Linked DNA regions of Drosophila melanogaster. The protein of the gene in region 2 interacts with the protein of the main gene of each other region in a biochemical or structural test. Each region holds a gene or a part of one and is shown on either strand. Other genes may lie near its edges.

Region 1 (15,249 bases), on a different chromosome or scaffold from region 2:
AATTGATACTTGGCATCGAAATGCGTAATCCAAAACGTGACAGCGATTTAAGGGGATTGTATTCAGTGAAATGTGCAAAATGCCAAGTCAAATTATGAAACTTATAGGAGGAGTGTGAATTCGAAAGCTTCATTTGTACTGAGAAGATAAAAGAAGTATGAGAAGTTCTTAGTTAAATATTTTATGATTTTCTGAAAGGCTTTTCCTTTGTAATTACTTTCAGAGCCCTATAAACTATAAATACCACATTGAAACCCACCACACCAGGAACTAGCAACATTCATAGATCGAAAATGCCCGCAAACCCGACTGTCAAAACAGGCAAACAAATTGTGCAAATAAGTCGGGGAAATGTTATTTATGCCCGTAAGATTTTCCGTGATTAAATAACTAAGGTACAGGCCAGTCGCCTCGCCGCTTGTTTTGCAGAATGACAGCAGTTGCAACTTAGCCGAGCTCCAAATGTGTCAGCATCGGTTGCATATTAATGGCCCGGAGGTGTGCATGCCAATTGTCATGCGCTGAAATGCTTGTTAACAACGTCGATTGCTTTTGGCCAAGTCAGTCGTCTATATATACCCAGCACCAGCCCCACCCCCAGCCAGAAAGCAAATCCAACTCCACATCCACTTTCAAATCCGAGCTAAAGCCAAAGTCAAATCCAACTGAACCTCCTGCTCTCCCACTTTTTCCTCTTTTTAATCAAAAAGAAGTCGATGCTCCTGACTCCAGACTCCTCCCCCGTGGCAATAACGCCACACATTTGTAATGTTGCTTCTGTTTTTGGCTGAAAGAGGAGCCCAGGAAGCAGCAGAGACAGTAGAGGAACTGCACTAAATGCTCACACTGAGAAATATAATCTGGTAGTCGATAAATAACATTTTAAGTTAATTGAAAGTTGATAAAATGGTAGAAATCAAAATCCAATAGGATTACATATTTATGGTTTTAAGGATATGTAACATTATTTATTTATTTCCAGAACCCTTCCGAGTTTTTTCCGGTGCATCTCTTAGATGCATTTTACAAGTTACTTTAAGGCAATCAATTTGTAGTCGAATCGCGTGGATCGCAAACGGGCGGGCGGGTGATGGGTTGGAAAAACCAATCAAAAGAGCGTTGCGAACGCAAATTGAACGGCAAATGGTTGCAAGATGATATTTCAATACACCAGCTTGCCGGGATCACCTGTGCAGCGGACTTCCAACCCTTTCACTCCCCTTCGGCCATCACTTTTTGGCCATAAATTATGGACGGGCGACGCCTGCGCGTAGTTTTCTTACTTTTTTGCAGTTATGATTATCGCGCCAGGATGGAAGAATGGGGCAGCAGAAGGAAACACATACGTTCCGTTCCTGTGTGTGCAAACAAATGTAAAAAATTTTTAATTGACTTTTGCAGTTTCGCAGTTGCCGGAGCCACCGCCAGTTGCACTTTTTATGGCCCCTCGCGTGTATGGCAGCTTAAAAGTTAATAAAACACGCCCAATGATAACAAGCCGCCAATAACATATATATATATATTGCCCCTGAGGTCTTCATCATCGTTTCGTATTTCCCAACATTGTGAGCTGATCCCCAGATACCAGATCCGCCAGCATCCCAGTCGATCCTCGCCAGGTTACCAGAAGTTTTCGGAGCTTCGAGCTCGTAGAAAAACAATCAATTAGGCCCAAAAGTAGCTTCCAACTCCAAGGGAGCGCCATAAGTTTCCGTCTCCCCCCAAGATCATGATGGTGATGATGGGGCTTCGGATGGTTAGGATGGTCCGGATGGCTGGCATGTTGCCCAGTGGCATCGACACGACTTTGATTCTCTTTCCGCGCCGACTGGCAGGAGTTTTATGGCCTGCTTTGGCGAAATTTATGTTACATTTTTATAGTTCCAGTGTAAATTGACTTTTAAAATGCAAAAATTTATCATAGCAACGGGCTGCAGTATGCAGGGGGAAGTCCCGCGCCAACTTTAATTGCCTGCGCCCCGCAAGACGGTGGCAACTCTGGCGGAAGCTTCGAAAAGTCAAAAGAAAGCTCTGTGAATGGGACGATAAACATCTGCGCGGTTTCAAGAGGAAAACAACCCCCAAAATTGTTCGCCAAGGCTTTATTTATTGGAGAACGTTTAGATACTCTAAATCATAATTAATGATTGTAATATTTTACTAAGAAAACGATATACAACTTTAAAAAAGGAGATTCACAAGCTAGCTTGGCTATTTTAATCAACGTTTGGTCGGGGTCACCAATTGAAAGTCATTACTGAATATAAAGCTATTAAGCCATAAATTTAAAAAAAATATTTGGTTAGTCTAAGAATACTTTGATTTTTGAATTATCCTTACATGTACATATATTGTATAAACCACACGCTTTAGATAGCCAAAAAACTCAACGGCAGAGTATGAAACAAAACACAGTCGTAAAAGCTTTTCGCCGAGTCAAAACATTTTGCGGACCTTGGCACTCAACGTTGTTTTATCCATATAGTTTTTTTGATTAATTCGCTAGTGCAGTTTACGCCCCAAACCACAGGAAAAAGCTCCGGAAAAGTTTGGGTCGCGTGGGTGTTGCCCCTCCACCTTTTCGCGAGGTCTCCAAGTTCAATTGCATGACGAAACAGCCGCGGAACAGTTGCGTCGCTCCTTGATTAGCTGAATAAGCGGGAAAAATCCATAAATTGATTAAGTAAAACTCGGAAAACTAAAGTGAAATGCTGCTGCCAACGGTCAGCGGCCAATCCGCCGCAGGATGCAAATGGAAAAACTGCTGTCGCCGCAGCTGGGAAATGCTGATGGCGCCCGTATCGCCCAAGAACCTCAGGACCACGGCGCTCTTGACGAGCATCTACCAGTTGGTAAGTTCAAACATACATGTATATATAGTAGCGGATTATATAAGAGACTGGAGAATGGATATCTCAGGCGGGGCGCAGCGCACTGGCACGCAGGGAGATCCGGGAATCCCCGAGCAATCCACAATGTGCAGCCGCGGCCCCAAATACAAAAATTACGCACTGGATATGCAAAGCCATACCCCACTGGGCGCGCAAGGAGGCGTCGAAGGCGGCAATGGAACGCTCGCCCCCGCCTATCCCCGGAGAAGTCCAGGGGCGGAGCGAAGGAGACGCTCCTGCGGCGCAATGCGTCCGCACTTGAGTTTCGTGATCGGAAACGTGCCAGGACGAGCACCCTTTTTAAAGCTCTTCTCCTGAAATATATTGGGAGTTGTTGCGAAAGCTCCTAGAACCAGTTGGGAATTGTAGAAGCAGCTTTCTGGCTTCGTTCAGTTTGGTGAAAAATAAGGGTGGTAGCTTCAGCAGATCGCTGGGTTGTTCCGGTTTTCGCAAACACTTTTTGTTAAGTGAGATCCTAAACAGTCGCTTTTCTATATTCCCCAGTTAATCTCCCACTGCGCCCTTTTCCTGGTTCTCCTGGGACTGGCGCATGCCGAACAGATGTGCGAGGTGCTGGAGCTGGACATCTTGGACCAGAAGGACAATGGTTTCTACAACATGTCGCCCTTTCACAACGATCTTCGCCTGCAAACCGCTGCCCAATTGGCCGTCGCCACGGAGAATCTGCTCTACGTGATGGCTGGTATCGCGGGTACCTACGCCCTGAGTGCCATATTCCTGTTTTTCGGAGTCTTCAAAAATCGGCCGGGCCTAATCATACCCTGGCTGGTTGTGGAGTTCCTATTAATGATTGGTTTGGGGGCACTGGTCTTCATGCTGAGGGATACAAAAATCGTGCAATTGCTGGGTGGTCAAGTGCCCTACTGTAAGTTTGGATTTTTAGGCTTAAATTTTGAAGTAAATAATAACGAATTATCTTATATTTCAGTTATCATTTGCTACATCTTGATCTGCATGGATTACTGCAAGTGGTATGTGATGCATAGCTTCTACCAGAGTCTACGCACCATGAATAAGCTTCGAGAGATTGCCACTGTGGCCATACCATGTCCAGCTCCAGGAGCCGTAAGTTGGTATCAATATTTTGAAAACTTTAATAGTAACTTTCTTATACATTAGATACCCTATCGTTTCCAACGCGAGCACATGTATCTGGGCAGCAATGGATATAAGCACATTCTAACCGAGTCTCCCGATGGACAGTGTTAAACATGTACTGAAAGATTGGATATTTTTGGAACTTCCCATCAGGTGTCTTGATTGCAATTGCACTGCAAATTCTGTATTGCAAAACAGAGTGTGATATGGTTTTGGTAGAGATACTATTTTATATAGCCAACGGACATGGAGCGGCTTATTAGAAATGCAGAATCGGTTCAAAGCGTTCGGCGATTAAACTATAAACTATTTTTGTGTAGAAATAGCTCCCAAAGCACCTTAAAAAATAAAAAAAATAATAATAATATTTGGTCACTAACGCGACTCGAACTCGGAACTTCGAAGCGAAGGTCGCACTCTCTAACCCCTAGGCTACGGCAGCGAAACTCTCGGGATAGCCGAGATTGATTAAGCCCCAAAATCTTGAAACGAAAAACTTGTCTTAAATAAATTGGCGTTCATACAAATATGTATTGTAGCAACGAATTTTTTAAAGCTTAGTTTCTCAGTAGATTTACCACTACTTAACTATAATATGCCTTAAATTCTGTTGACTAGCAATATTTTAGGTATTTCTATTTTGTGGCACAGAACGAATATCAAATAAAAGTGCAAAATTGTAACATATCTAATGAACGTGTTTTTTATTATTTCCACACTTACTAATTTAATGTACATCAAGTTAGAAAAATGTTTGGAATATTCAGTTTTGGGTGCTTTTATTATTTGGCCTCAGCTACAGATGCACATTATCTAATAATATCTTTCTTGTCTTAGGATTATTTGTTCCACTAGCCTTTCCGGCCCTTTAGCTTCATAATTGGCGGTGGCAAAGTGGTTCCTACAGTGGTGGTGCTCAGAGTGCTGGCTCCCATTAGACTCATATCGTTATCCAGGCTGTCCATTACAAAGTCCACTACGGTTATATTGTTAGCGCCTTCAGAATCCCCCTTATCTGTGGGGATACTGATCTGAAACTGCAGCAAAACCACCAGATAAGTGACCATTGTGGTTAAGAGTCCTTTAAAGAGAGTCCTGTTCACATCAAAAAAGCCACCGCAGTTGATGGTCGATGGATTCATTTCGGTGGCTCGCAAAAACATATTTATCTCCGTCTGGGCATCCGAGTTCATCCAGTTAAGCTCCACCATGAGTAGTTTCTTCTGGAAATTGGTTCGCACATTAACCGAGGCATAATGTGCCTCATCGCAAATATAGAAGAGCAGTCCTATGTTCCACAAAGCCGTGATAGTCAGTCCTATGTCCTTGATGCCAAATCCCTCGGAGAGTTGCGACATTAGTCCATAAATCGAAAGGGTAATGATGAAGAACAAGTAGAGGCTCATGAAAACAAAGGTGTAGCACAGGGCATTTCCAGTATCACGGGTCAACTTGCTCAGTCGTAGCCACAGAACACGGTAGTCTGCCACCATGGCAGCGGGTCCAATGTGTTTCAGTGCCTTCTGGAACCGCTCCGCCAGAAGATGAGCCGTAATGCTCATGGCCTCGCAGATGAGGAACCACCAGGCACCCAGCATTGCAGTCAAGTTGTCCAGGATGCAGTAGGGCACCACCTGGTTAATGTTCAAATCCGACATGGTGACGTGCGTGATGACCACCGATAAAACCGAGAGAATTGGCAGCACGATGGCTATGTACACCGCCTTCTGTCGCAATTTCAGAGGCAAACTGTGCCCGGATATCTGGTAGTACAACACCTCAAAGTCATCCCAATCATTGAAGAGCTTTGCTATCTTCCTGGCCTCGTACCACAATATTGGTATAATCATAATGGGCAGGATGTTGACCAGAAAGAGGTATGCAATAACCGCCTCCTCGAAGGGTCCACTCAGGGAGCGCACAATGTGGATGCGGTTGTTGGCCACATAGCCTACATAGCACTGTAAAGCGGTTTTGGGTTACATAATGGTATCCATAGTCAATTTTGAAAAATGTTATGCAAACACCACACTCACCGCCAGGAGCACAAAGAAAACCACCGAGTAAATAAAGGAGGCGGAGTTCATTTCGAACTTGGCACGAGCAGGACCATGTCGCACGATGGGTAATACTCCAATAATCCTCAAGAACCAATTGATGGGATCTATGTTTCGGTAGAAAACACTCTGAAAGCAGCGAAATTCAGTTTTACAAAAATGGTTTTAACAGCGTAGCAATCCACAAACCGGCTTAAATTCCGGATTATTGGACGCCGTGCTGTCCGAGCTCTTTTTCCTATCCAACGGAGGAGCTTCGTAATCCGCATCCAATCGCTCCGCCAATCCAATGGAGTACTTGCGGACCCCGTACAAGTATGCCTGGGCATTAGCACTGTTCAGCGGTTTTGCATTGAGGAACACCGCGTCACCCTTCTTGCGTCGATAGTAGTTGGCCATTCCGGAGAGACTGTGTCCGGAATTTCCTTGTCCGTGGCCTTTTACCACTTTTTCGCCAGACGGACGCATTAGCCATGCACCTGCACACGCCCCCTTATCGACCACGCCCTCTGTTGACTTAGAGCCGGAGTTTTAGTTTCCTGTTGATGTGCGTTGTTTGTCTTTTGAATGAATTAACCTTAGCCCGGTGTCCCAATTTCGAATTTGTGTCAATGGCGCGCATGTGGCAATTTACAACACTGAAACCGGGCTGCCAGGCTACCGATTTGGTATCTAAATGGATCTAGTCCGGTCACACTGGTGGGTGTGGGTGCGAAAGATAAATAAATAAATATGTTGAAAATGGACAGGGAAAAGTTGATTGTGCCCAATCAAATTGGCTATCTGATACTAAAGGAAGATGGAGCAGTTCTGGAGTCCGGCGGAGATCTGAAGAACGATGAGCGCAGTGCAAATGTGATAATGGGATTACTAAATCTCACAGAGACGTGCGTTTTTAAACAAAGGATGAAGGAATTTTGTAATAATTACGCCTATATTGTAGCATCGACGAGTCCTTCATGCCGAGCAGCAGCTGCGAGAGGATCACCATCGATTACGAGCATCACTACTACAGCATCTGCATGTCCAACCGTAGAATATACATCATTAAGATCAGCAAATCGCAGAATGGCGTCACCACGACCACGAGCTCCTCCTCGTCGAACAGCGTGTATAACGATGCCAGCGATTCCGGGGCAGTGCTGGCTTGAAATCCGTCGTCGGATGTCCGACCCACTTGCAGATTCTGTTGGCAAGCAACCGGACAAAGACCCCACAATTGGCGCACTCCCATTATTTACCTAATCCTCCTCTTTATTTGTCAAAAAATACATCATCTGTGAGCTCTTGCTCGAAAATGCGCCTCGCTTCCTGGGTGACGTCCAGCAAGGTGGCCTTGCTATTGCACAGGATCACATAGTACTGCCTGTAGTTACAGCGCCGCTTCACAATCCAATAGTCATTGGTGGTCTTGACCTGAACTTCCTCGGCAGGAGCACTCTCCATTTCCGCCTTGCCACTGCCATTGGCCAAGTCCGCAATGATACTAAGCACATTGCGGGGCAGCCCTTGGGGCAGGTGCCTCTGAAAGTTCGTGTGGTGCTGCAGGCTTTGTTCGTTAATGAACAAGTACTTCGGCGCCGTTTCGCTGTTCCCGCTGGAGTTGTCCTGGCCTGCAGCACCCACCGCCTCCTTTGTCAACTCGCTGGATATGTCCCGGGCCAACGAAGTCAGTTGGGGAGCCATGTAGGCATGGAGATCGTCGTAGAGATCTTGTTTCGGCGCAACCTGGTCAGCTGACAAATGTGGAATGTTTCAAGTTGATTATTTTGGCTATTTAGTTCTAATCCTTAACATACCATTCAGAAACAGACACAGAGTTATGTGCAAAGCGCGGTAGATGAGCAAGTAGTAGGGTTTGGCCTCCTTGTCCAGTGTCACATAGACCTTCATTGGATGATCTTCCTCATTCACAGCGTCATGTTCATCTCCTGCGACCTTCTGACGACTTCTTACGAATCCGCCCACCTGGCATTCACTTATGCTTCGCTTTAGTGAAGGAGAAACTGCAATGGTGGAACTGCTGGCCTCGACTTTCAGCACGTGTTGCACGACATACGAGTGCACGCAGTGCAGATCCTCCGGGCTAAGTTTTCCGCCACAAAGGACCTGCTCCTGGTAGAGCATTATGCTCTCCTTGATGTCGGGGAAGGTCTCGCACAGGGTGCCAAAGTTTTGGGCCCGCAAGAAGAGCGTTTTATCCAATGGCAGATACTGAATGGAATGCAGCATATCGATGATATCACATTGCGCGGGATCCCTCAGGTTGGTCAGATGCTGATCATAGAACTGGAGTAGCTTCTGGCAGAGCAGTTCCCTACGCTTATCCGGATTAGGTTCTTCACTTCCGCAGGAGGAGAAACATCCGTTTTGAAAGCGAAACATTTGATAGCATTGTCTAAGTATTGCTCTATAAATCCTGTCGGAGATCTCGGCACCCCGATAATCGGCCACCTCCACGCCCTCCTTTAAGCGCACCTCCTTGGGAACATTCAGGACCAGTACTAACCAATACCCTGGCTCGGGTTGGTAGAAGAGTTGTGTGGTTTTCTGGGTATGCAAGGCCTGGCAATCATCTTCAGATGTAAAAGTTCTGCAAGTACAGCAAACTCTGTATTATTACCCACTTCCCTCTATGTAAAAAGTTCCATAAATACCCAGTGAACCTTATGATGGCCTCACTTAGTCCCACATCTTTGATTTTCGTATTTAATTCAATGTCATTTGGATGGTAAAACAAAACCTTCTTGTGTTCCTGAAAAAAATTACTCATTAGGGGCGTTTCTTAGCCTTAAAATTGATTTGCCAACCTCGCCTTCAACTTGGCCAAAAGTCGAGTTAAAAATGTAAAAGCTGCGTAACGTAATTTCTACGCGTTGCAATAATTTAGCCATTTCTTTCCGCACAGAATTAAAAGTATTTATTTTGGCCAAAGGTAAATAATGAAAAGGTACTAACGCGTCCGTGTTTGCCAACCAGGGTTACATTTTACCAAATGTAGTGTGCTAGTATATACCAAACGTTTCCAGTACCAAATTAAAAAAAATACCACACAATTAATAAGCGAATTTAAAGCTTTTTCATTTATTTTGGAATTTAATAGATTTAATAAAATTTATGTCATGGCGTTTACTGAAATTTAGAATTTTTCTGATGTCTTCCCTTTTGACAATGCAGAAAGGAAAGTGGCCATCCATAATCTCCTCATATTTATTTAGAGTGAAGTGCGTGCTAAATTGTGTTTATTTGGAAATGTATTTAGTTTAAGCCTGGATTCCTCCACGGAGACGGAGCACCAAGTGAAGGGTCGATTCCTTCTGGATGTTGTAATCGGACAGGGTGCGTCCATCCTCAAGCTGCTTGCCGGCGAAGATCAGACGCTGCTGATCTGGGGGAATTCCCTCCTTGTCTTGGATCTTAGCCTTAACATTCTCAATGGTGTCCGAGGGCTCTACCTCGAGGGTGATGGTCTTTCCGGTCAAAGTCTTCACGAAGATCTGCATACCACCACGGAGACGAAGGACCAAGTGAAGGGTGGACTCCTTCTGGATGTTGTAATCGGACAGGGTGCGTCCATCCTCAAGCTGCTTGCCGGCGAAGATCAGACGCTGCTGATCTGGGGGAATTCCCTCCTTGTCTTGGATCTTAGCCTTAACATTCTCAATGGTGTCCGAAGGCTCTACCTCGAGGGTGATGGTCTTTCCGGTCAAAGTCTTCACGAAGATCTGCATACCACCACGGAGACGAAGGACCAAGTGAAGGGTGGACTCCTTCTGGATGTTGTAATCGGACAGGGTGCGTCCATCCTCAAGCTGCTTGCCGGCGAAGATCAGACGCTGCTGATCTGGGGGAATTCCCTCCTTGTCTTGGATCTTAGCCTTAACATTCTCAATTGTGTCCGATGGCTCTACCTCGAGGGTGATGGTCTTTCCGGTCAAAGTCTTCACGAAGATCTGCATACCACCACGAAGACGAAGGACCAAGTGAAGGGTGGACTCCTTCTGGATGTTGTAATCGGACAGGGTGCGTCCATCCTCAAGCTGCTTGCCGGCGAAGATCAGACGCTGCTGATCTGGGGGAATTCCCTCCTTGTCTTGGATCTTAGCCTTAACATTCTCAATGGTGTCCGAAGGCTCTACCTCGAGGGTGATGGTCTTTCCGGTCAAAGTCTTCACGAAGATCTGCATACCACCACGGAGACGAAGGACCAAGTGAAGGGTGGACTCCTTCTGGATGTTGTAATCGGACAGGGTGCGTCCATCCTCAAGCTGCTTGCCGGCGAAGATCAGACGCTGCTGATCTGGGGGGATTCCCTCCTTATCCTGAATCTTGGCCTTCACATTCTCAATGGTGTCCGATGGCTCTACCTCGAGGGTGATGGTCTTTCCGGTCAAAGTCTTCACGAAGATCTGCATACCACCACGGAGACGAAGGACCAAGTGAAGGGTGGACTCCTTCTGGATGTTGTAATCGGACAGGGTGCGTCCATCCTCAAGCTGCTTGCCGGCGAAGATCAGACGCTGCTGATCTGGGGGAATTCCCTCCTTGTCTTGGATCTTAGCCTTAACATTCTCAATTGTGTCCGATGGCTCTACCTCGAGGGTGATGGTCTTTCCGGTCAAAGTCTTCACGAAGATCTGCATACCACCACGAAGACGAAGGACCAAGTGAAGGGTGGACTCCTTCTGAATGTTGTAATCGGACAGGGTGCGTCCATCCTCAAGCTGCTTGCCAGCGAAGATCAGACGCTGCTGATCTGGGGGAATTCCCTCCTTGTCTTGGATCTTAGCCTTAACATTCTCAATGGTGTCCGAAGGCTCTACCTCGAGGGTGATGGTCTTTCCGGTCAAAGTCTTCACGAAGATCTGCATACCACCACGGAGACGAAGGACCAAGTGAAGGGTGGACTCCTTCTGGATGTTGTAATCGGACAGGGTGCGTCCATCCTCAAGCTGCTTGCCGGCGAAGATCAGACGCTGCTGATCTGGGGGAATTCCCTCCTTGTCTTGGATCTTAGCCTTAACATTCTCAATTGTGTCCGATGGCTCTACCTCGAGGGTGATGGTCTTTCCGGTCAAAGTCTTCACGAAGATCTGCATACCACCACGGAGACGAAGGACCAAGTGAAGGGTGGACTCCTTCTGGATGTTGTAATCGGACAGGGTGCGTCCATCCTCAAGCTGCTTGCCAGCGAAGATCAGACGCTGCTGATCTGGGGGGATTCCCTCCTTATCCTGAATCTTGGCCTTCACATTCTCAATGGTGTCCGATGGCTCTACCTCGAGGGTGATGGTCTTTCCGGTCAAAGTCTTCACGAAGATCTGCATACCACCACGGAGACGAAGGACCAAGTGAAGGGTGGACTCCTTCTGAATGTTGTAATCGGACAGGGTGCGTCCGTCTTCCAGTTGCTTGCCGGCGAAGATCAGACGCTGCTGATCTGGGGGAATTCCTTCCTTGTCTTGGATCTTAGCCTTAACATTCTCAATGGTGTCCGAGGGCTCTACCTCGAGGGTGATGGTCTTTCCGGTCAAAGTCTTCACAAAGATCTGCATTTTGGATTATTCTGCGGGAAGAAAATAGAGATGTGGAAAATTAGTACGAAATCAGACGAGTTTCGTTGAAATTACAAAACTATTGAAACTAACTTTCTGGCTGGGGAATAAAAATGGGAAACTTATTTATCGACGCCAACTTTGTTGAGAAACCCCTATTAACCCTCTACGAATATTGGAACAAAGGAAAGCGAAGAAACAGGGAACAAAGGGTAGTTGAGAAACCTTTGTTCCGTTGCTTCGTCATCGTTTTCGTGTTGCGAGTGTGTGCATGTATGTATACACAGCTGAAATGCATGCATACACATTATTTTGTGTGTATATGGTGACGTCACAACTACAAGCAATAAGAAATTTTCAGACGTGGCTTTGTTTAAGCAACCTACTCTATTTCAGCTAAAAATAAGTGGATTTCGTTGGTAAAATACTTCAATTAACTAAACAACTAACTAATAACATGCACACAAATGCTCGAGTGCGTATGTGATTTCTCGAATTTTCAAATACGTCACTGCGAATTTCACAATTTGCCAATAAATCTTGGCGAAAATCAACACGTAAGTTTTATTTATAGATTTGTTTGCGTTTTGATGCCAATTCATTGGGAAAACGAGATGCGTGGCTGCCAATTTCTTATTTTGTAATTACGTAGAGCGTTGAATAAAAAAAAATGGCCGAACAAAGACCTTGAAATGCAGTTTTTCTTGAAATTACTCAACGTCTTGTTGCTCTTATTACTAATTGGTAACAGCGAGTTAAAAACTTACGTTTCTTGTGACTTTCGAGAATGTTCTTTTAATTGTACTTTAATCACCAACAATTAAGTATAAATTTTTCGCTGATTGCGCTTTACTTTCTGCTTGTACTTGCTGCTGCAAATGTCAATTGGTTTTGAAGGCGACCGTTCGCGAACGCTGTTTATATACCTTCGGTGTCCGTTGAAAATCACTAAAAAATACCGTAGTGTTCGTAACACTTTAGTACAGAGAAAAAAAATTGTGCCGAAATGTTTTTGATACGTACGAATACCTTGTATTAAAATTTTTTATGATTTCTATGTATCACTTTTTTTTTGTGTTTTTCGTTTAAACTCACCACAGTACAAAACAATAAAATATTTTTAAGACAATTTCAAATTGAGACCTTTCTCGTACTGACTTGACCGGCTGAATGAGGATTTCTACCTAGACGACCTACTTCTTACCATGACATTGAATGCAATGCCACCTTTGATCTAAACTTACAAAAGTCCAAGGCTTGTTAGGATTGGTGTTTTGGAATTTAAGACCCTTGTTAGTTTGCTTTTGAAATAGCACTGTCTTCTCTACCGGCTATAATTTTGAAACTCGCAGCTTGACTGGAAATTTAAAAAGTAATTCTGTGTAGGTAAAGGGTGTTTTAAAAGTGTGATGTGTTGAGCGTTGCGGCAACGACTGCTATTTATGTATATATTTTCAAAACTTATTGTTTTTGAAGTGTTTTAAATGGAGCTATCTGGCAACGCTGCGCATAATCTTACACAAGCTTTTCTTAATCCATTTTTAAGTAAAATTTGTTTATACTCTTTCGGCAAATAATTGTTAAATCGCTTTAAGTGGGCTTACATCTGGATAAGTAATGAAAACCTGGATAATATATTAATACATATAATCCACTGTGCTTTCCCCGTGTGTGGCCATATACCTAAAAAAGTTTATTTTCGCAGAGCCCCGCACGGTCACACTACGGTTCGGCGATTTTCGATTTTGGACAGTACTGATTGCAAGCGCACCGAAAGCAAAATGGAGCTGGAGATTTTGAACGCGAAGAACAGCAAGCCGTACGGCAAGGTGAAGGTGCCCTCCGGCGCCACGCCCATCGGCGATCTGCGCGCCCTAATTCACAAGACCCTGAAGCAGACCCCACACGCGAATCGCCAGTCGCTTCGTCTGGAACTGAAGGGCAAAAGCCTAAAGGATACGGACACATTGGAATCCCTGTCGCTGCGTTCCGGCGACAAGATCTATGTGAAGGATCTGGGTCCCCAGATTGGCTGGAAGACCGTTTTCCTGGCCGAGTACGCCGGCCCACTGATTGTATACTTGATTTTCTACTTCCGACCGGAGTTGGTGTACGGCAAAGCTGCCAGTCTGCCGATTTCCCTAACCACCCAGTGAGTTTGTAGAAAGTAGTCTCTGAAGTCTTTCGATTGTCGACCTAATCGACCTCGTCGCTTATGCAAACTAAAACGCAACGGCTCTGCATAATTATCCCCGAACTTTGGATGGTGGTTCACCCAGTAACCCGCTTTCTTTTCTCTTTTGCCCCAGCATTGCCGCCGGCTGCTATACGGTCCACTATGTGAAGCGTCTGCTGGAGACGATTTTCGTGCACCGCTTCTCGCACGCCACCATGCCGCTGAGGAATCTCTTCAAGAACTGCACATACTACTGGGGATTCACCGCCTATGTGTCCTACCACGTGAACCATCCGCAGTTCACCTCGCCCTGCATGTGCACCGTTTGGGGAGCTCTTGGGGCATTCGCTGTATGTATCCGCGGCCATGGTTTATGGATCTGGGTTATATGTTTTCGTAATCTACCGGTTTCCTTTGCTTTTGTTCGAAACATTTGTTTCTTAATACCAAAGGTGTAGCTTTTTGTTAAAATTGGTCAAGCAATTTGTAATGTTATATGTGCTATATATTTGGGATCCATTAATCATATTTGCAGACCCACAAACTAAGCCGCACACTTTTCACTTTCAGCTCTGCGAACTAGGAAACTTTTCGGTGCACATTGCCCTGCGCAACCTGCGTCCGCCGGGAACAAAAGTGCGCAAGATTCCGGTGGCCGATGGAAATCCCCTCACCAAGCTGTTCGAGTAAGTGGTCACTAAAAAAACCCACAGCTCAAGTTTATTAATTCGCGCTCTTCGAACTGCAGCTTGGTTTCTTGCCCCAACTACACCTATGAGATCGGTGCCTGGGTTTCATTCTCTGTGCTGACTTCTTGCCTGGCTGCCTATCTGTTCGCCTTTGCCGGAGCCTTCCAGATGACCATTTGGGCCTTGGCCAAGCATCGCAACTACAAGAAGGAGTTTAAGGACTACCCTCGCCAGCGCCGCTCCATCTTCCCCTTCGTCCTGTAGGTTGGATGTGGGTATCCCCATGACGCATTCGCTGTATTACCTATTCCACATTATACATTTACACATTTGGCTAGCGTTTAACAGGGTAGTTGTCTAGTGAACTTTGTGCTTTCGTTGATTTAAAGCAAATACAAATTGGAGAAGCGTACATTTGGCGTGTTTTCGTCGCTTTTTGGACTTTGATCGATCGTATGGGAAGTTCGACGAAGCGCGTGTAATCAGTAATAGTTTATTTGGGGCTTTCAAAGGTGTGCCAGGTGCTTACCTTGCTAAAAATAAGTGGCCACCTTGGGTCATTTATTTTTAACACTTTTATTTCAGAATGAAACACCTTTTTTATAGCTTTAGTAAACCAATAATGCATTTTTATTGAACAAACATTTTGAAACAACGCGCCATCTGGAGCTGCCACACTGCTGAACTCCGTACCGTTTGGCATCTCCAGCGAAGCTAAGTTGGCTGCGGCTGATGATTTTGTGTTTACATTTTGCCGGCAAA
Region 2 (15,917 bases):
ATCTGTTCCGCTCCCTGTTGGTGCCATCGGGCCACAACAATCACCAGGTGATCGCCACCCAGCCCCTGCCACCAATCATTGTCCACCAGCCTGGTGCACCACCAGCCCATGTGAACAGCGGCCCACCGACTGTGGTGCGCGGCAATCCGGTGATCTACAAGATCAAGCCCTCGGTCATCTACCAACAGGAGGTGATCAACAAGGTGCCCACTCCGCTGAGCCTCAACCCCGTCTACGTGAAGGTCTACAAGCCCGGCAAGAAGATCGAGGCTCCACTGGCCCCGGTGGTTGCACCCGTCTACAGCCAGCCCAGGGAGTACAGCCAGCCCCAGGGTTATGGTAGTGCCGGAGCTGCTTCCTCCGCCGCCGGTGCCGCCTCCTCTGCCGATGGCAATGCCTACGGCAACGAGGCTCCACTGTACAACAGCCCCGCGCCCTATGGCCAGCCCAACTACTAAGGTGCTCATCCTGGGCATGGGTTGCTCCTCAGCTGCGACAGCTGGTTTAATTTAAATTTTTGTTTTTTTTTTTCTTTGCCGAACTACTGAGCGCAAATAAATGAAAAAAAAATACTTGAAACGTAAACGTTTTGTCATCAATTATTTTCGACCGGAAGGGGCTACCTGAGTGGCAATGAAGCACACAGATTAAGCACATATTTATGAATATATAAATATATACGAATGCATGAGAGAACAAAAAATTATATCTAGTTTTCTTCAAAAATAAATAATAAAGGGGAAAATGGTATAAAGTATGAACATAAAATTATGAACGAGTATAAATAAGTTTGTAATTGAAATCTCTACGGTCATACAAGTATTTTAACTATTCTATAAATATGCATAAACATGGTACGCATTTTATGAGATACAATTCGAAAGATATTGGATAGCATTATCATGCATGAAATTATTTCACACTCTTGTGATGGTAGCTATCTTATTCCAGTTATCGTTTAATTGCAAAGAATGGGATCAAAAGGTCATCTTTATCAACATATTGTTGATTCCGGAATGAATAATAAATAATAACATAACTATGAATTAATGGAGCAACTATAATTTTACGGCCTCTTTTCTTTTAAACAAAGAATATAGCACTTTTAATGCATTAAATACGTATTTAAACCTTTTCTTTTGAAACGCCAAATTCATATTAGAGTTTCATAAGATTGTTTTAAAACATAACAACATAATAATTGAAGAATTGGAAATCTTTTTAGGTGTTTGTAAGCCTTTGAATTCCTAATTGGAATAGCTAAAGATCCATATTTCATCTTCAAATCTCTTTGCAACTAGAGATTTATTTTATCTGGCAATTATTAAGTATACATTTTTATATGGTACTTTAAACTGATGGTTTAATCAGTTACATGGATTTTCTAAATTAAAAATGGTCATGTGAAGATAGCCACTCTTCTAACAATCTAATCACATTTATAGTAAGAAATACAATACAATACAATACAATACAATACAATACAATACAATACAATAGAAAGACAATCGAATCTGCGCAATCCGTGTGAAATTCAAGGACTACAGCTGGGTGGCTAATCATTTCCCCCTATCCACTTACACCTCGGATTACCTCTTATTCCGACTCCCGGAGTCTTGTGTCTGCCAATGCGGAACTATTTTCGCTATCTGAACAGACGTTCGGACCTCGATATGCGGCAAAGATTCACAGCCCGGCTGTTGATTCCGATTCGGTGGCAATGTGTTCGTTGTTATTGTAAAACGGGCAATGGCAACTGGGCAGTGGGCAGTGGGGTTTTCGGGTTGTGGCTTCTACGTAAGTGGAAGAGACGCCGTGATATGCGCTGGCAGCGATGCGTGCGATCTATCAACATTTGGCCATGTTTCGTTCGCATCGCGTGGGCCCGGAGCGGAACAGCCGGCACCGGAGTTGGCATCAATCCAAATGTCACGTACCCGGAGCCGGAGACGCGTCCGGAGCATATTTAAAGTAGTCGGCCACCAATGGAGGGCAGCAGAAGACAGCAGACAGTCCAAGCGGGAGCACACCAGAAGCCGAAGAGCAACTGGAACTGCAACTGGGAGACAAGATGACGAGATCGACCTACATTTGGGCGCTGGCCGCCTGCCTGATCGTAAGTGTTCAAGCTCGAAATCTTAGGATTAATCCCAAGAAAACCAAGTCTATCAATTCTGACTGCTTTCGTTTGTGCCATGTAAATCGTACATGAAAAGCAAATTGACTTTCCTTTAAATTACTTGAAACGGAATCAAGCTATCTATCGATGCTAGACTTATTTTAAGTATATGTATATGTCGATCCAATTCTAATCCACCCCCCCCCCCTCAATTTACTTTTAGGCCTGTGCAAGCGCCAACTACGGCAGTTCCCAGGGCTATGGACCCGAGTCCGGAAGCGGTGCCTCCGATGGCGGTGCTGATGCCGCTTCAGCGGCCGCAGCAGCTGCCGGCGGTGCCGGTGGAGCTGGTGGCGAGTACGGTGGTGCTAACGCCGGTGCTGGTGCTCTCGAATCCGGAGCCGATGCCGCCGGTGTGGCACAGGCTGGCCAGAGCAGCTACGGATCCGACCAGAACATTCCGTACAAGCCGGTGAACACCAAGGGTAACACCCTGACCTCATCGATCACCTACCCGCAGAACAAGGGCGAGATCCTCATCCATCGTCCCGCTCCCATCATTGTCAAGCGTCCGCCCACCAAGGTGCTGGTGAACCATCCACCATTGGTGGTTAAGCCCGCTCCCGTGGTGCTCCACAAGCCCCCAGCAATCGTTCTCCGCAAGGTCTACGTCAAGCACCACCCACGTCGCGTCAAGGTTGAGCCCGTGTTCGTCAATGTGGTCAAGCCCCCAGCAGAGAAGTACTTTGTCAACGAGAACAAGCAGGGCTACGGACAGGGCTCGCAGTCCCACGGACACGGCCATGGACACGGTGGCCATGGACACGGACACAGCGGACACGGACACGGTGGACACGGTGCTGGACCCCATGGTCCTGGACCCCATGACGGTGGCCGTGCTCTGCCCGCCTACGCTTCGGGAGCTGATTCCGCTGCCGCCAGCGCTGGCTATCAGCTGCTCCAGAGCGGCAACCAGGGTCTGTCCGCTCTTGCCAACATCGCCGGCGAGCGTGAGGGTCCCTATGGTCCCGCTCCAAGCCATCAGCACTATAGCGCCGGTCCAGCCGGACATGGCGGCTATGCTGCTCCCGCCTATTAGGTAACAGATGCGGAGGAGTTACGGATTGGATGACTGCTGCGGCTCCGGAATCAACTGAAGCGGCTGGTTTAGTCATTCGCTTATCCGGCTGATTAGTTACTATGTTTTTTTTACAAAAAAAAAAAAAAAAAACAGCCTGATCGACCAACGCCCATGCCTACGCCCACGCCCACTCATGCACACCCCAATACCACCCACTCACCCATTCAACGGCCCAGGAGGGGCGTGGCACTCAGGTTTCTTTGCAAAACAAATAAAAAATTTGAACAAAAAAAAAAAAACAATTATACCCAAGCTGAATGTTGTTTTCGATGAAGGGTGAAATCTAGATGCTAGTTATATTTAAATTAAACTATCATTAGATATATACTCTAATTGATAGTTATTGATAGTCTTGCGACTCATTTTAAACTTGATACACTTATAGCATAGACAGTGAGTAATATCATTGATATTATTATATAATTATTGTTACACAAAGTGCATATGATGAGAATCGATTTAATGATGGGAGAACTGACTTACCCGCAACTTTATTCGCAGCAACAAGTGTCGCATATAATAAATACAATAAATCCGAAACGCAGGCTGTCATTACACACATCGTTTGGTTGTCCTTCCCCATTGTTGTGCGTTATGCCAATGGCATCCCACGCAATTGTTCAATAACAAACGGGCGGCAAAATCGGCTATAATGATAGGTAAGGCAAAGAAGAGCTCGGCTGATGACAGGTGGAATCGCAATTTAGGTCGCCCAGTGCCGCCCATTTGGCAGTTTGAAAATTCAGCATAAAAATGCGATACCTTTGCACAGAGATTTCAGTCTGTAAGCAGAAATAAATTGAGAGCATTAATAAAATAACCAACTAAACAGAATTATTAAAGCGAGCCAAAACAAATCGGTTTCAAGTTCAAATATTTTTTTTTGCGAACACTTTTCGGTGATAAAAAAAAAAAAAACAAAACCAAATAACCAACAACAGAGGCGAAATGAGTCACTTATGCTTCCTTGTAATGGGTTTGTGTTTCGCAATAATCGCCTACTGTTCTGGACAAGTTAGTATTGTTTTAACAATGACTGATATGTTAACCATAGAATAACAACAAATAATACCTATAACAAATTTTGTCCAGGGTATCACAGAAAGTCCTTATAACCGAAATTGTTACAGAGACATATATTGCTTATTGGCCGATTCAAATTAAACAAACCATACAGGTACGTTGGTGAATTGAAATATTAAACTTATGTACAAAGATTTCTGTGATACCATCGTATTATTAGCTTCCAAGTTCTTTAGTACTTTAGCATATTTTGTAATTTTTGTTTAAGATACTTATTTTCATAATTTATTCCAACTAGCCCTTATCTAAACGGACAACGGAAACCAGTATGGAGGCGTTGCACTCCTTAACTCAACTTATCTTCAGCATTCTGGATGGTTTTAACATGGGTTAGTTTTAGCAGGATAATGTTGACAGCTCAAAACATTTTCAATGTACTACATACTAAAGTAATCGTGATTGATTGAACTAATGAACCTTATAAATTTTCTAATATCTAATTTTCTTAGTTGTAAATACTTTTTGTTGTTTTTTTTTTCTTAGTTAGTATGCACTAATTTGATGTAATATGCTACAATATAAACCCATGCATTAAAAAACTATCTGCTTATCAAAAATAACAGCGTTTTCTAAAACTAACATAGACAAACAAATTATGACACAAATAAAGACAGTACATACAATAATAACAAACTTTTACAATGAAACTAAAGGATTACATCAGAGTTCTTTATCGTTTCGAAGATCAGCGTCGATGTGATGTGACGAGGTGAATCAAAGTAATCCAAGCCAATCCACACCTTTTGTTTGCTATCTGAAATCGCGCCGAAACACGAGAATACCACGTAATTGCAGCACCTGCAAAAGTCTTTTGTACATTTTGTCTCTTGCGCTGCAGTTGAATCTTGTTTTATTTATGGTTAATTTTTGATGGTACACTTTACATAGGTGAGTCTCTAGCCGAACAGCGAGCACATAAATATATATATATATATATATGTATATATATAGTAGATAGTATGTAGATATTTTTGGTTAGAAGGGTTTTAAATAAATCATATAAATAGGTGGTTCTTTGATTTCGTGACGGCTAACTTTAAAAAAATTCGCATAAAATTACGTTAAATTACATTTTTAAAATGAAGTTGGGTTGACATTTGCGTTAGGTTATGCAATCGATTGTTGTACAGAAGCTGAATGGTTTATGATAGAGCGCCAACGCTTATGGCCTATAAAAAGTTAACTACAAATTTAAAAGTGAGATTAAATTTTAAAAGCCGTTAATTGCAATGGAATGTAATGCCTTCGATCTGTATGGCCTCTCTCTTTCAAGTGATCTGTTTTTTGCCCCCGCTCCCTTTTTTTTTTCTTTCTTTGTTTAGTGATGACGCGTTGCAGCATAGACAGCTGCCGGCTGAGATTGGACAGATAAGGGAGCTGGTTGCAAGGTGGCTGGCTGCTGTTGTTGTGGCTGAGCCGACGGGTCCATGTTATAGTTGTTGATCACCTCATAGGGGGACACCACCGGAGCTGGCATGCCCCAGGCGTAGGGAGTCTAAAAATGGTCGAGTGTCGATTGCCTATAGAATATTTTGAATTTGTTAGTGCATGTATCACTCCTACCTGTCCTTGAGCTGCTCCCCCTAGCTGTGGTGGTCCCGCCTTGTGGTAGAATATCGGTGGCGGTGGCGGCGGTTGGAGCAACCTCGGCGGTGTTATCAGGTGATGATGCGGCGATGGAGTAGTATAGAAACTAAACTGACTGCCATTCGAGCTTGGCGATGGCGTTGGAGTGGGCAAAAATGCCGCTGGCCCCAGCGAATCCTTAATATCTTGCAGCTGCTCCGGACGTTTGCCGCGCACCTTAACCGAATTCAAATTGCGCTTGGCGTAGGCACTTTTCTCAAGCGGTGACTGCTCTGTGGCATTTGCCACCTCTGGCGAAGGTGGTGGTGTTGACTCCACGGCAGTCAAATTGTCCTCTGTGGCGCCAATGACTACAGTCCGTCCTGCCTGTTGATCAGTGTTGTTCTGCTGATGGTATCCAAACATTCCTAGTTCATCAGGCGGCGTGTGGTGCGACATGCGCCAATGCAAATCCACGCCCATGTTGTAGAAGTATCTCAAAGTCACCATATCCACGGGCAAATCTTCACCGTTTGGGTGTAGAGAACGACGTGGCTCGCCAATTCCGGTAACATTTAGCGGTGGAGAAGGAAGCGGCATAAATGGATGCGGTCCCGATAAAGCAACAGCTCCCGGTGGTGGTGGACCATAACCACCGAATGGCATGTATACACAACCTTCGGTTGGCGGTGGATGCGGGGTTCCTGAAATGGGGAACGGAAACTCCTCGGCAATAGCCATCGGAGATGCAGGCCAAGGTGGCGGTAAATGCCCAGGACGACTCGGTATCATTGGCACGTAATTCATATACTGAGTGGGTGGCGGGGCAGCCGAACCCGAAACCTCCTGGTTTTGGCTGGAACTCGAGTTCTGCGGCTGAACCCTTGATGCCTTCGTGCGCTGGTGTTGCTTCTGTGCCTGCGGTTCTTCACGATCCCGCTGCTCCGTAGTCGGGTTCTGGTCATTTTGTTCAGGATCATTATGATCCCGCTGCTCATCGTCCTGAATGTGCACACCCTGATAGCAATTGTCCACGGGCATGTAGGGCATCAAATCACACTTGCTGTGCTCAAAATACTGGTCCATTTCGAACAGCTTGTTCTTCTTCCATTTGGAAGACTTGTTGGCCTTACCGGCATACTTGGGCAACGGCAAGCGAGGCATCTGGCGATGATAGCGGAATGGCAACGACCATGGGCGGTACTCATCTGGCGGCAGGGGATGGAGCGATTCATACGGGACCTAAGCCAACAGATATGTTTGTATATTAGTAAGCTCTCTATTAAAGCGAAATAGTTACAATTAGCTTCGGATACCGAACATTTTTAGCCCTTGCAGATCAATTATTTTATAGACTTATATACCAGTTCATTGGGCCACAATTAATATACTTTTAACTAAACTTTAACAAATTTAACTAATTGTTAAATATGATAATCGTTTCTAATCGAAATTTTTGCATTTCTCTGCAAGGGTCTAGAAAATCAGATAAAAAGAAGAGGTACCACTATCTCTTTGCCAATCCTCTCAACAAAGACGTGGCAGTAATTCTTATCTTTGGAGATATTTTGAACGTGGCACGTGTACATCTCCGTTTCGTTCGGCAATTCCACCTTGCACTTGGCGCCCACCTGGAAAACAAATAACACGGCGACGAGACGAGGAAGGATAAGGCAAGACATACATGTATAGTAAAGTATAAGGTGTATCCAGTGTATAGATGAAAATGAAAGGGTGTTAATTTGGATGGGTGGTTGACATGAAACGTGTGTTGGTGTGCGTGTGTATGTGTGCTAACGATAATCCAATGTTCTGCACAGTTTACCTTAAAGTTATAGTCATTTATGTAGACATTATAAAGCTTGGCCTCCTTGCGCATATCGTTCCAGCAATCAAATTCTATATTACGATACATATAGGGGTCCATGGACTTGGCCACTTTGTAGGGAAACGGAGAGATACCTAAAAAGAGAGTATTATGTAAGCATTTGATGTTTGAAACCACCTCTACTGACCATCATCTAGCAGCTGGCGGACACAGGACTCCAATCGGTTTGGACACATGGGCAACAGATCGTTTGGTTCGTGGCCACTGCTGCCGGATGCCTTTCGCTCCTCCTGGTTTTTAATCTCCAGCCGGCCTCCCTTTCGAGCATTAATGCTCTGATTTCCATTGGTGCTATGGAAATTGCACAGCTTATAGTTTTCCAGTATGCAGTTTGTGTCCCCTGGCAGATCAAGCTTAAAAACTCGTCCATCGGTGCAATGAATGCGAACCATATAGCCCTTGTCATCGAACTCCACATTGAAGCGATCCCAATTGAAGGTGTGTGGATGCAACATAATCTCCACAGCAAAGGATACGTCAGGCAATTTGAAAAGCTTCTGGTACAGCAACTTAAAGGCGATTGCTGAAAGCAACGTACATATACAAAAAGCAAAATTGGATATATTAATAGGCTACGTACATTGACAAATGGCGGCTCTTTCTATATATTCAACGTCATAAACCGAATCAAAGTGATTCTCATTGTTGAAGAAGACACGGAAGTTTTCCGCATAGCGACGATTAAAAACGACGCTGGTGCCCATGTTGTAGGGCTCATACAGGATAACATTGCGGCTGGAAGTCGTACAGAAATCATATATATTTGTAGAATTTAATAGAAAATAGTAACTAAGGATTAATTACCGATATAGGCAGGACATAGCGCGTAGTTCTGTCATGGTTCCATATGTCTTGGGCTTGGACATGTCCTGCATGTAGCTATCGAAATCGCCAGGAATTTCCTGGGATATAAATAAAATTATTTCTTTTTTTTTTACAAAATGTGTGATTGTTAGAGGCCTACCTTCTCAAAGATGCGTCGTTTTAGGGTCATGAAGCGGACGCACTCTAGCCGAATCTCGTAGTGCAGCATCTGGGTGTCGTACATCTGCTCGGCGATCACACGGAACAAACTGGAGGCGTCCCGGGCCGTGTGCTTACGGTAGAGTCCACGGCTCTCCAGATACTGATCATACGGATCCGGGGCCTGCCGGCTGCCTGACGTAATGGGGCGCTGCACTTGCATGTCCATGGCGACTCTGGAATCGAGAAACTTAAATTTTATTCATTTCATTTTTTTTTTGTCATGTTTTCCCTTTGAAATACAAGTATTGCACAATTAACAGTTAGAAGAGGGCCCTGACCTCGATCTATTTGACCTTCACAATCACTTTTCAACTGCTATCTATTGTCGTTTCACTAAGAAGTGCGCATACTAAGCTTTATTACTTATTTTATGTTAACTATTGTATAGTTTTTTTAACTTTAATAGTTTTAAAGCAAATTTGCTGCAATACAAATATATTCCAATTATTAACCGACTCCATACAAGCCGGGCTTCAGAGCGAGATGACAATATGCACCTGCGAATTCAAGATGGCGCAGTAGAAAGGCAAATGAAGCAAAAGAGCAAAATTAAATGTGATGAAGCTGATGAAAATTAAATATTTGTTTAAAATTTAATGATTTAAAAGCCTCTCATGCTGCGCTTAATTAGTTAATTTCGTCACTTGACAAATTACCGTTACTATAAATGTTTCAACTAATACAGTTAAAATCGAATCGAGATATTACCGGTGTTCTGCTGTTCGTCTTCTGTTGTACAAATTCTATTTTTATAAATAGTTAACAATTAAATTAACAATTAAAAATAACACTGGCATCCGCACCTAGCACCGTTACACGAAGAATTGAAGCGAATGGCGCGATCTAGCCTTTCAGAGAACCCGCGAACTAGAATGCGAACGAAAAGTATAAGAACGAACTTCCAGTGCCTGGAAGGATGCCGACAAACGAAATTGGGCAATAGTGATGTGCGGAAATGAATCAATGGAGTTGGTTCGTGATTTTATCAACAAAATAAATATATCTGATCTTGTTGAATACTTTCTAAATGAAATACACAAGTGTATGATATACTTGAAATATATTGCTGAGCGGTTAAAAAACTCCTGTTATCGCCGTCTATCGATGACACCGATAGCGGCATCATCTGTTCCGTGTCATCCCCAAAAGTTTCTGTTACCTTCAAATTGTTCTTGTTACTGTCGTTGCTGTTGTTGCTGGCCCGCTTTTTAGGGGGTGGAAAATGCCGCTTTCCACACGGCGCACTGTTGTTCTTGTTCATCAGACTCAGTTCGAAATTGCGAGTCAATGAAGCCAGGAGCAAACTTTCAGTTCGCGCTGTTACCGCGACAAAAGTTGTCTGGAAGAGATGTGAGTGTGTGACTGTGTGTGCCTTTTGTTTTCCTGTTTTTTTTTTGTGTTTTTTGTGTTCTCGTGTAAAGTTATGTTTTTGTTTATTGTTAGTAAATGTCGTTAGTTGGTTATCTTGCGAGTGTGCAAAACGCAACGACTATGAATTCTATTTCCTCTCGGTGTTTCATCAACTTTACGCCATGTTCATCTGTTTCGTTTTCCTCCTCCTTCCATCGAATAATAATAACAAAGAGTTTTACATATGAAAATCACAGTCATTAACAAAAACAACACACGTGGACTCAACCACACACAACAATGGACATTTGTACATGCGATACACACATGCAAATAAACAACGTTATGAAATTGGAAGGAGTGCACAAAAGGAAGAAGTAGAAATGTGCGGTTATTTCATATCCAAGCAATGCCGTAAAAATCAATAGGAGCGACAAACAAAGCACGTGCTTGTGCGAGTGCGATGGCAAATCGATAAACCGTTAATCAAGTTTGTTGAACGCGTGTTCGCCCCGTCTCTCTCTCGCCTTGTTTGCGCCACCTCTCTTTCCCACACACGGCCCAACGAAATAATATTTCTTTGATTCCTTTTCGTTAATTCCACGATTTTCGATTAACTGGGTCAAATGGTGACATAGATATGATGTTCTTTTTTTTTGGGTGGTATTTCATTTTCCAGGTGCCGAGGTCAATGTCACGGACATTTCTGCAATGCCGTCTGCTGACCTTCGAACTTTGGTTCGTTTTTGTCAGCAATTAATTGATTAAATGATTCGGCCAATATATTGTCGGTCGTCTTATCAATATACCGATTATACAACTATCCTGTTCCCGCAACTATCTTATCACCAAAAACAAAATAAAGAAAATACAAAAATATAGGTCTCTTGAACCGGACTCGTCGGGCTCCCAGATAAGTGCTCCATTAGCTCCATCTCGCTTGCTCGCGGTTCTTGACATGTGTCCCTCAAACACGAATTAACGACTTAAACTCTTCATGTGATAAAAATCGACGTTCCTGTTTTCGAAAAACCATCACTTTGTTTTCCAAAATATAAAGGTCTTTAAAGCTTTATATCTGATATTGCATGGTATTTTATAACATCTAAATGTTGTTTTTATAAGTGGTTTCAAAATCTTGTGCTGTGTGATAATATTATATTAACGTAATTTCACAAATATGCGAAATGAAATGTTTGATGGTGTAGAAATACAAACAATACCAACCATCTTTGAAATAGCACAGTGAGTTTCTGAATTTGGGAACATCTCGAAAGTTGTCTTCTCTGCTTTTGTTGTTTTTTTTTTCTGATGCGATTGTTTGCCGGTCGGCGGCTAAGAATTTCCGTTTGCTGCTTTTAGTTGCCTTCGAACATTTTAGCTCGTCGCGTCTTTGCTGAAATAAAAAGGGGAAGTAAGAGGTAAAGCATACAGTCCAAACAAAACAAAGAGAATTTCGCTTGCCAAGAGAATCCGAAGCAACATTTGCCAAATAAAAAAGTGAATTGTGCATGAGAAATATCTTCTTTTTTTTTGTTTGGCTGCCACGAACCGGTTATTTTATTAGCTTCACTCTAGCGAACCGCACACAGTCGTGGACGCAACTATTAGGAACACCCATCTGTCTGCGAAGTGCCTGGTTTGCAAAGCGCAAATATATTAATAGGGCAGTAATACACAGTTCGTTGTTGTTCTTTTATAAATAGCTTGACAAATTCAGTATCGAAAAATCTTTCAAGTGATTTCATTAAAAATATCAGGGTGCTCGAACCCTACAGTGTAATGCTGCCTTAACAACAAAATTATTATCCTTGTCTTTATAGTTTTGCTTTACTTAAATTCTTGCTTTTCTTTTGATTCTTTTTTCTTTTCACGTATTTGCTTTGCCAATCGAATCGGTAAAATACCGCTTACCACTTGTTGTTGTCTCAGTCGCAAGATGCAGCCGTTTAACAGTAGCGGTGCCCACAGTGGCGGCGAGAAAAATGAGACCCGCATGCGCCGCCGGCCCATATGTAAGCTAAATTTTGACACCTTATCCAAAAGACCGTCATATTTTTGCACTTCACCCCGAATTACGTTAATCCCCGATGCTAAGTTAACCGTTTTATATCTTAAGTTAAACTCTCATTTATTTGCTTGTTTAATTGACATTTATTTAGTGTAACCTTATTTACTAACGCTAATTTAATATTTGAATGGCCACCTTGGGTACACTTTCCATATTTATATTTACTGTTTGGGGTTAACAGAGTGCAAAAAATGCATTTATTTAATTGCAAATTCTAACTGCCATATTATTTATAAAAAATATTTAACGATTTTAAGCTAACGATTAAGTGCCAGAAATTGGCAATTTCACAGCCACCACTGTAAAATGTAATTCGAATCGCTACTAATTTTTTTTAAACAAATTCCTAGAGGCCTCTCTCCGTTTTCCTTTTGTTTTACTTAAGTTTATTTTAGTTTGTTTGTTTCGCTTTGACATCTTTTATTGCATTTTCCCATAATTTGCTGCACGCTATTTTTAGAACGCAGTAAAGAGGAATTTCGCAGCAATTAATGTAATGCTAAGTATTAATTTATAGTTTGTTTGATTTTTTACACTAATTGCATTATGCTAACAATTGGTTTTGCTAACGTGGCCCTGAAACGCAAAGTTTAAGGCCAGCGTGCAAGCAGTGTACTGCTTCGCCGAAATGGCGTTTAACTTCTTGCTTGAGTTGGCCCGACTTCACTTGACTCCCAACTTGGTGCCATTTGTTTATTTTCTGTAAACACGCCAGCGTCTATTTGTTAGCTTGTTGTTATTTGTTGTGTGGTTTTATTTTTTGTTGCAATCGGCTGCTCGGTTGCAATATTATAATGACACTTGCAGTTGCACTTTCATTGCCATTGCCAGATGACGAGGCTTTAACGGTTCATCGCAGTCAGCTGTTTATGCGGAGCTTAATCGATTGCATTTAAGCTACAGCGGCGGTCATCTAACTAGCATTGTCAGCAGAAGTGGGGTGGGGGGTGTCGTTTAACAAATTAATACCCTTTAATAACCTTTATTCATATGTAATTCGAATGTATATTAATTAATTTATATCATTAATTTGAAATACAGCTATGCTATTAATCGCACCCAAGCTGTATGGTCGAGTCACGTCATTGGTGCATATTGAGCAACATAATCGATATCTTCTATAGGTTATGACTTGCCCAATGAATCGTGAATTGAATAACTTAGCCTAGTAACATTTAGTTTGATGTTATTGGGGCCTATTTTTCACGGCATTGTTTACAAACATTTCCAGTTGCAGTTGCATTTGTTGTTTGTTTATTTATTTTCATTGCCATAGTCGGCTTTTCACCCTTTTTTTTTTTGTTTGTATTCATATAATTTTTTAAAAGGCAGCGGCGCATAACGGTTTTTTGAGTGCCCAGCGCATGAGCGTTTAATCATTTTCGATTTATCTTGCTTTTTCGCTGCCTTTGTTTACCCTTTTTGAGTGGATTTTGGCCATTTCGATCTCGGGCTCAAGGGCTTACACGCGCCCACTTACACGGGTACACTTGCGTTCGAAAAAATAGCAACAGAATGCGTATAGTGTATACATATATACTGCTAAACTGACTTGCGAATTGCAGAAATATATACATTAACAATTGATTTAATGCGTTTGGAATAGAATTCGAATATTTGATTGCTGTTACTATTAATTCTACCCCATGTGTATATCCGGGGTGCTCAGAATGAGCTGCGTCTTTTTGCGTAGGTGTCTCAAAAGCTTTCTAAGACCCAATGTGCTCGTTATGACGTCAGTGGTTCTGCATTCATGCTGCCTGGTAAACAATCGCGTCAATATTGGCATTAACACCTCATCTTTGGTTTCCAGTTAACAGACAACGTCATTTGTTGTCTTTGATAACTCAGCGGGAATTAGGAGCCCACTGCAAATTGATCTATGGGAAATAAATTAATTAATTGGGTCCACTTCGACAACCTGAAACCATTAAAAGTGCTACTGATTTGAAAATATTAAGGCATCGTACAGTGGAACTTCCCTAACTCTTACCAAAAGTCCGTTTGCTTTTCTTTTTTTTTTGCTGCTCTTTCGAAGACAAAAACTAATTCCTTTGGAGAGTTTTCTACATAACACATGTGTTTAAATAGAGATATTCAGCAAATGCGCGTTTCTGGAGCAATCAAATAAGAAACTGTGGCCCTGCTAGTCGGAACTTAGTCGACATTGAGAATCGGTTGGTGGAATTAATCAAAATTGAGATAGAAAATTGAATGTTTTTTTTTTTTTGTGCAAAATCGGTTATTTTTCGTGTTGTTTTCTAAAAAAAAATTATGTTGCCTTTTCAAGGACAACTTTGTGCTATATTAGTATTGATATAGATTGAACGATCTCAAGATATAAATCGAAATTATGGATCGGCTGCTGGGTAGCCAAGTGGGGCGGTGTGGGCGTGGCACATACTGCGGTTACGCCCGACTCGTGAACACCTGTGATGACGAAAGCACCGATGAGGCAGGTATGTCTGTGAATCCCTCAGAGAATTAATAATTTCGGAAGTTAGTGAGCACAAAGATTTTGAGACGGAGAGAAAATTGACGGAGAATTGTCGATTTTAAATTGTTTGTTTGCGTCGCTACAACATGTTTGCTCAGATAATTGTTGACATTTGCTATGATAATACATTTCTGACGCCTGCTTTATGCAGGAAAAAAACATTTATTTTCTAAGGAAATACGATTTATTCATTTCATTTTTCACTTTACAATAATTATATTCACTAGACTAATGTGGTAATTCGAGATCAGGTCTATCTGATTGTTTGATTGTTTGATGCGCTAGCACATAGAACCCTTAAATAATTTGACTATTTTGTCTGCTATTATTTATCGCTTAGCATCTGACTCCTTGTGCAATCAGCGAACTGTTGACACTGTCATTTGGTTATTTTATCAAATTTACAATTGCGTTTCTTTTTATTGCCATTGCTGTTCGCTTTTTACAGTCGGCTTGCGCTGCCCTCTAAGAATTGAGTTATTCAAACAAAAAAAGGTGATCATCTTTCGCCGAGCATTGTAAAATAATAAAGCTCCGTCGCAATTCGTTTGAATTGTTTGTTGTTTTCGACGTTGATAGAGGTTTCCCCATAATGCCGTTGATAAGCACCAGTCTACCAGTCGTACCATACCAGATAATATCCGTCATTTATGGATGAATGAATGAATGCCCGAATTTGGGCTCGTGAATCATTTTTCATTCACATGGGTCAAGATTGGTGATTGGTAAACACCGTATAGTCCTGCCTCAATCTTAGATTTCTTCGACTGCGCCTTTCGAATTGCTTTGTCCATATCATTGGGCCATACAAATATTTTCGGCTGATCGCATTGCTTTGGAATTGATTCATATTAATGAAAACTCAGTAAACAAAATCGGAAATGAGACCACTTTCCAAGTTACACAGAAAATTGTTTGCTATATGAATAATCAGTATTTTGATCACAACATTTGAAAAAATGGTTCAAATATGGAATGTTATACCTCGTTGAGCTTGTTATTTAAATTCCAATCGATTTGCATTCAAATTTTGGAACTTTATTTTTTTGGCATTTTTTAAAAATTTTGATGAGTTACCCCTTACAAAAAATGCGAAAATTTGGGCAAAAATTAATTTTTCAAAGTCCGCCAAAAAGTGATGGGGATGATTAGTATTGGTAATTAGGAGCACAAAAT

Evidence for each region.
Region 1: of the proteins of otu (region 2) and Ubi-p63E, one has a biochemical effect on the other in vitro, tested with the Drosophila melanogaster proteins (one study listed by BioGRID).

The regions. Positions count from the first base shown.
Region 1 is NT_037436.4:3,890,138-3,905,386, forward strand, and holds Ubi-p63E (Ubiquitin-63E), read right to left. Parts: upstream 13,048-15,249; 5' UTR 12,867-13,047; intron 12,784-12,866; exon of another isoform or gene 12,718-12,783; intron 12,571-12,717; exon of another isoform or gene 12,390-12,570; intron 11,914-12,389; exon of another isoform or gene 11,716-11,913; intron 11,634-11,715; 5' UTR 11,623-11,633; coding exon 9,331-11,622; 3' UTR 9,294-9,330; downstream 1-9,293. Other genes in the region: Fie (fire exit), read left to right, coding at 2,709-2,852, 3,396-3,777, 3,841-3,977, 4,032-4,121; Gr63a (gustatory receptor 63a), read right to left, coding at 4,862-5,971, 6,047-6,196, 6,257-6,466; Lamtor4 (late endosomal/lysosomal adaptor, MAPK and MTOR activator 4), read left to right, coding at 6,800-6,954, 7,011-7,218; Ccz1 (Caffeine, calcium, zinc sensitivity 1), read right to left, coding at 7,322-7,803, 7,867-8,660, 8,725-8,822, 8,878-8,961; Sc2, read left to right, coding at 13,404-13,774, 13,932-14,148, 14,369-14,484, 14,547-14,751; ida (imaginal discs arrested), read left to right, coding at 15,220-15,249.
Region 2 is NC_004354.4:8,479,843-8,495,759, forward strand, and holds otu (ovarian tumor), read right to left. Parts: upstream 9,694-15,917; 5' UTR 9,532-9,693; exon of another isoform or gene 9,506-9,531; intron 9,281-9,505; exon of another isoform or gene 9,102-9,280; intron 9,011-9,101; 5' UTR 8,990-9,010; coding exon 8,762-8,989; intron 8,700-8,761; coding exon 8,602-8,699; intron 8,533-8,601; coding exon 8,378-8,532; intron 8,321-8,377; coding exon 7,925-8,320; intron 7,872-7,924; coding exon 7,735-7,871; intron 7,541-7,734; coding exon 7,415-7,540; intron 7,152-7,414; coding exon 5,907-7,151; intron 5,839-5,906; coding exon 5,662-5,838; 3' UTR 5,166-5,661; downstream 1-5,165. Other genes in the region: Cp36 (chorion protein 36), read left to right, coding at 1-458; Cp38 (chorion protein 38), read left to right, coding at 2,072-2,116, 2,343-3,218. UniProt on the Drosophila melanogaster protein: Catalytic component of a deubiquitinase complex consisting of bam and otu. The complex deubiquitinates K63-linked polyubiquitinated proteins; this antagonizes the ubiquitination activity of Traf6 and regulates the IMD immune signaling pathway.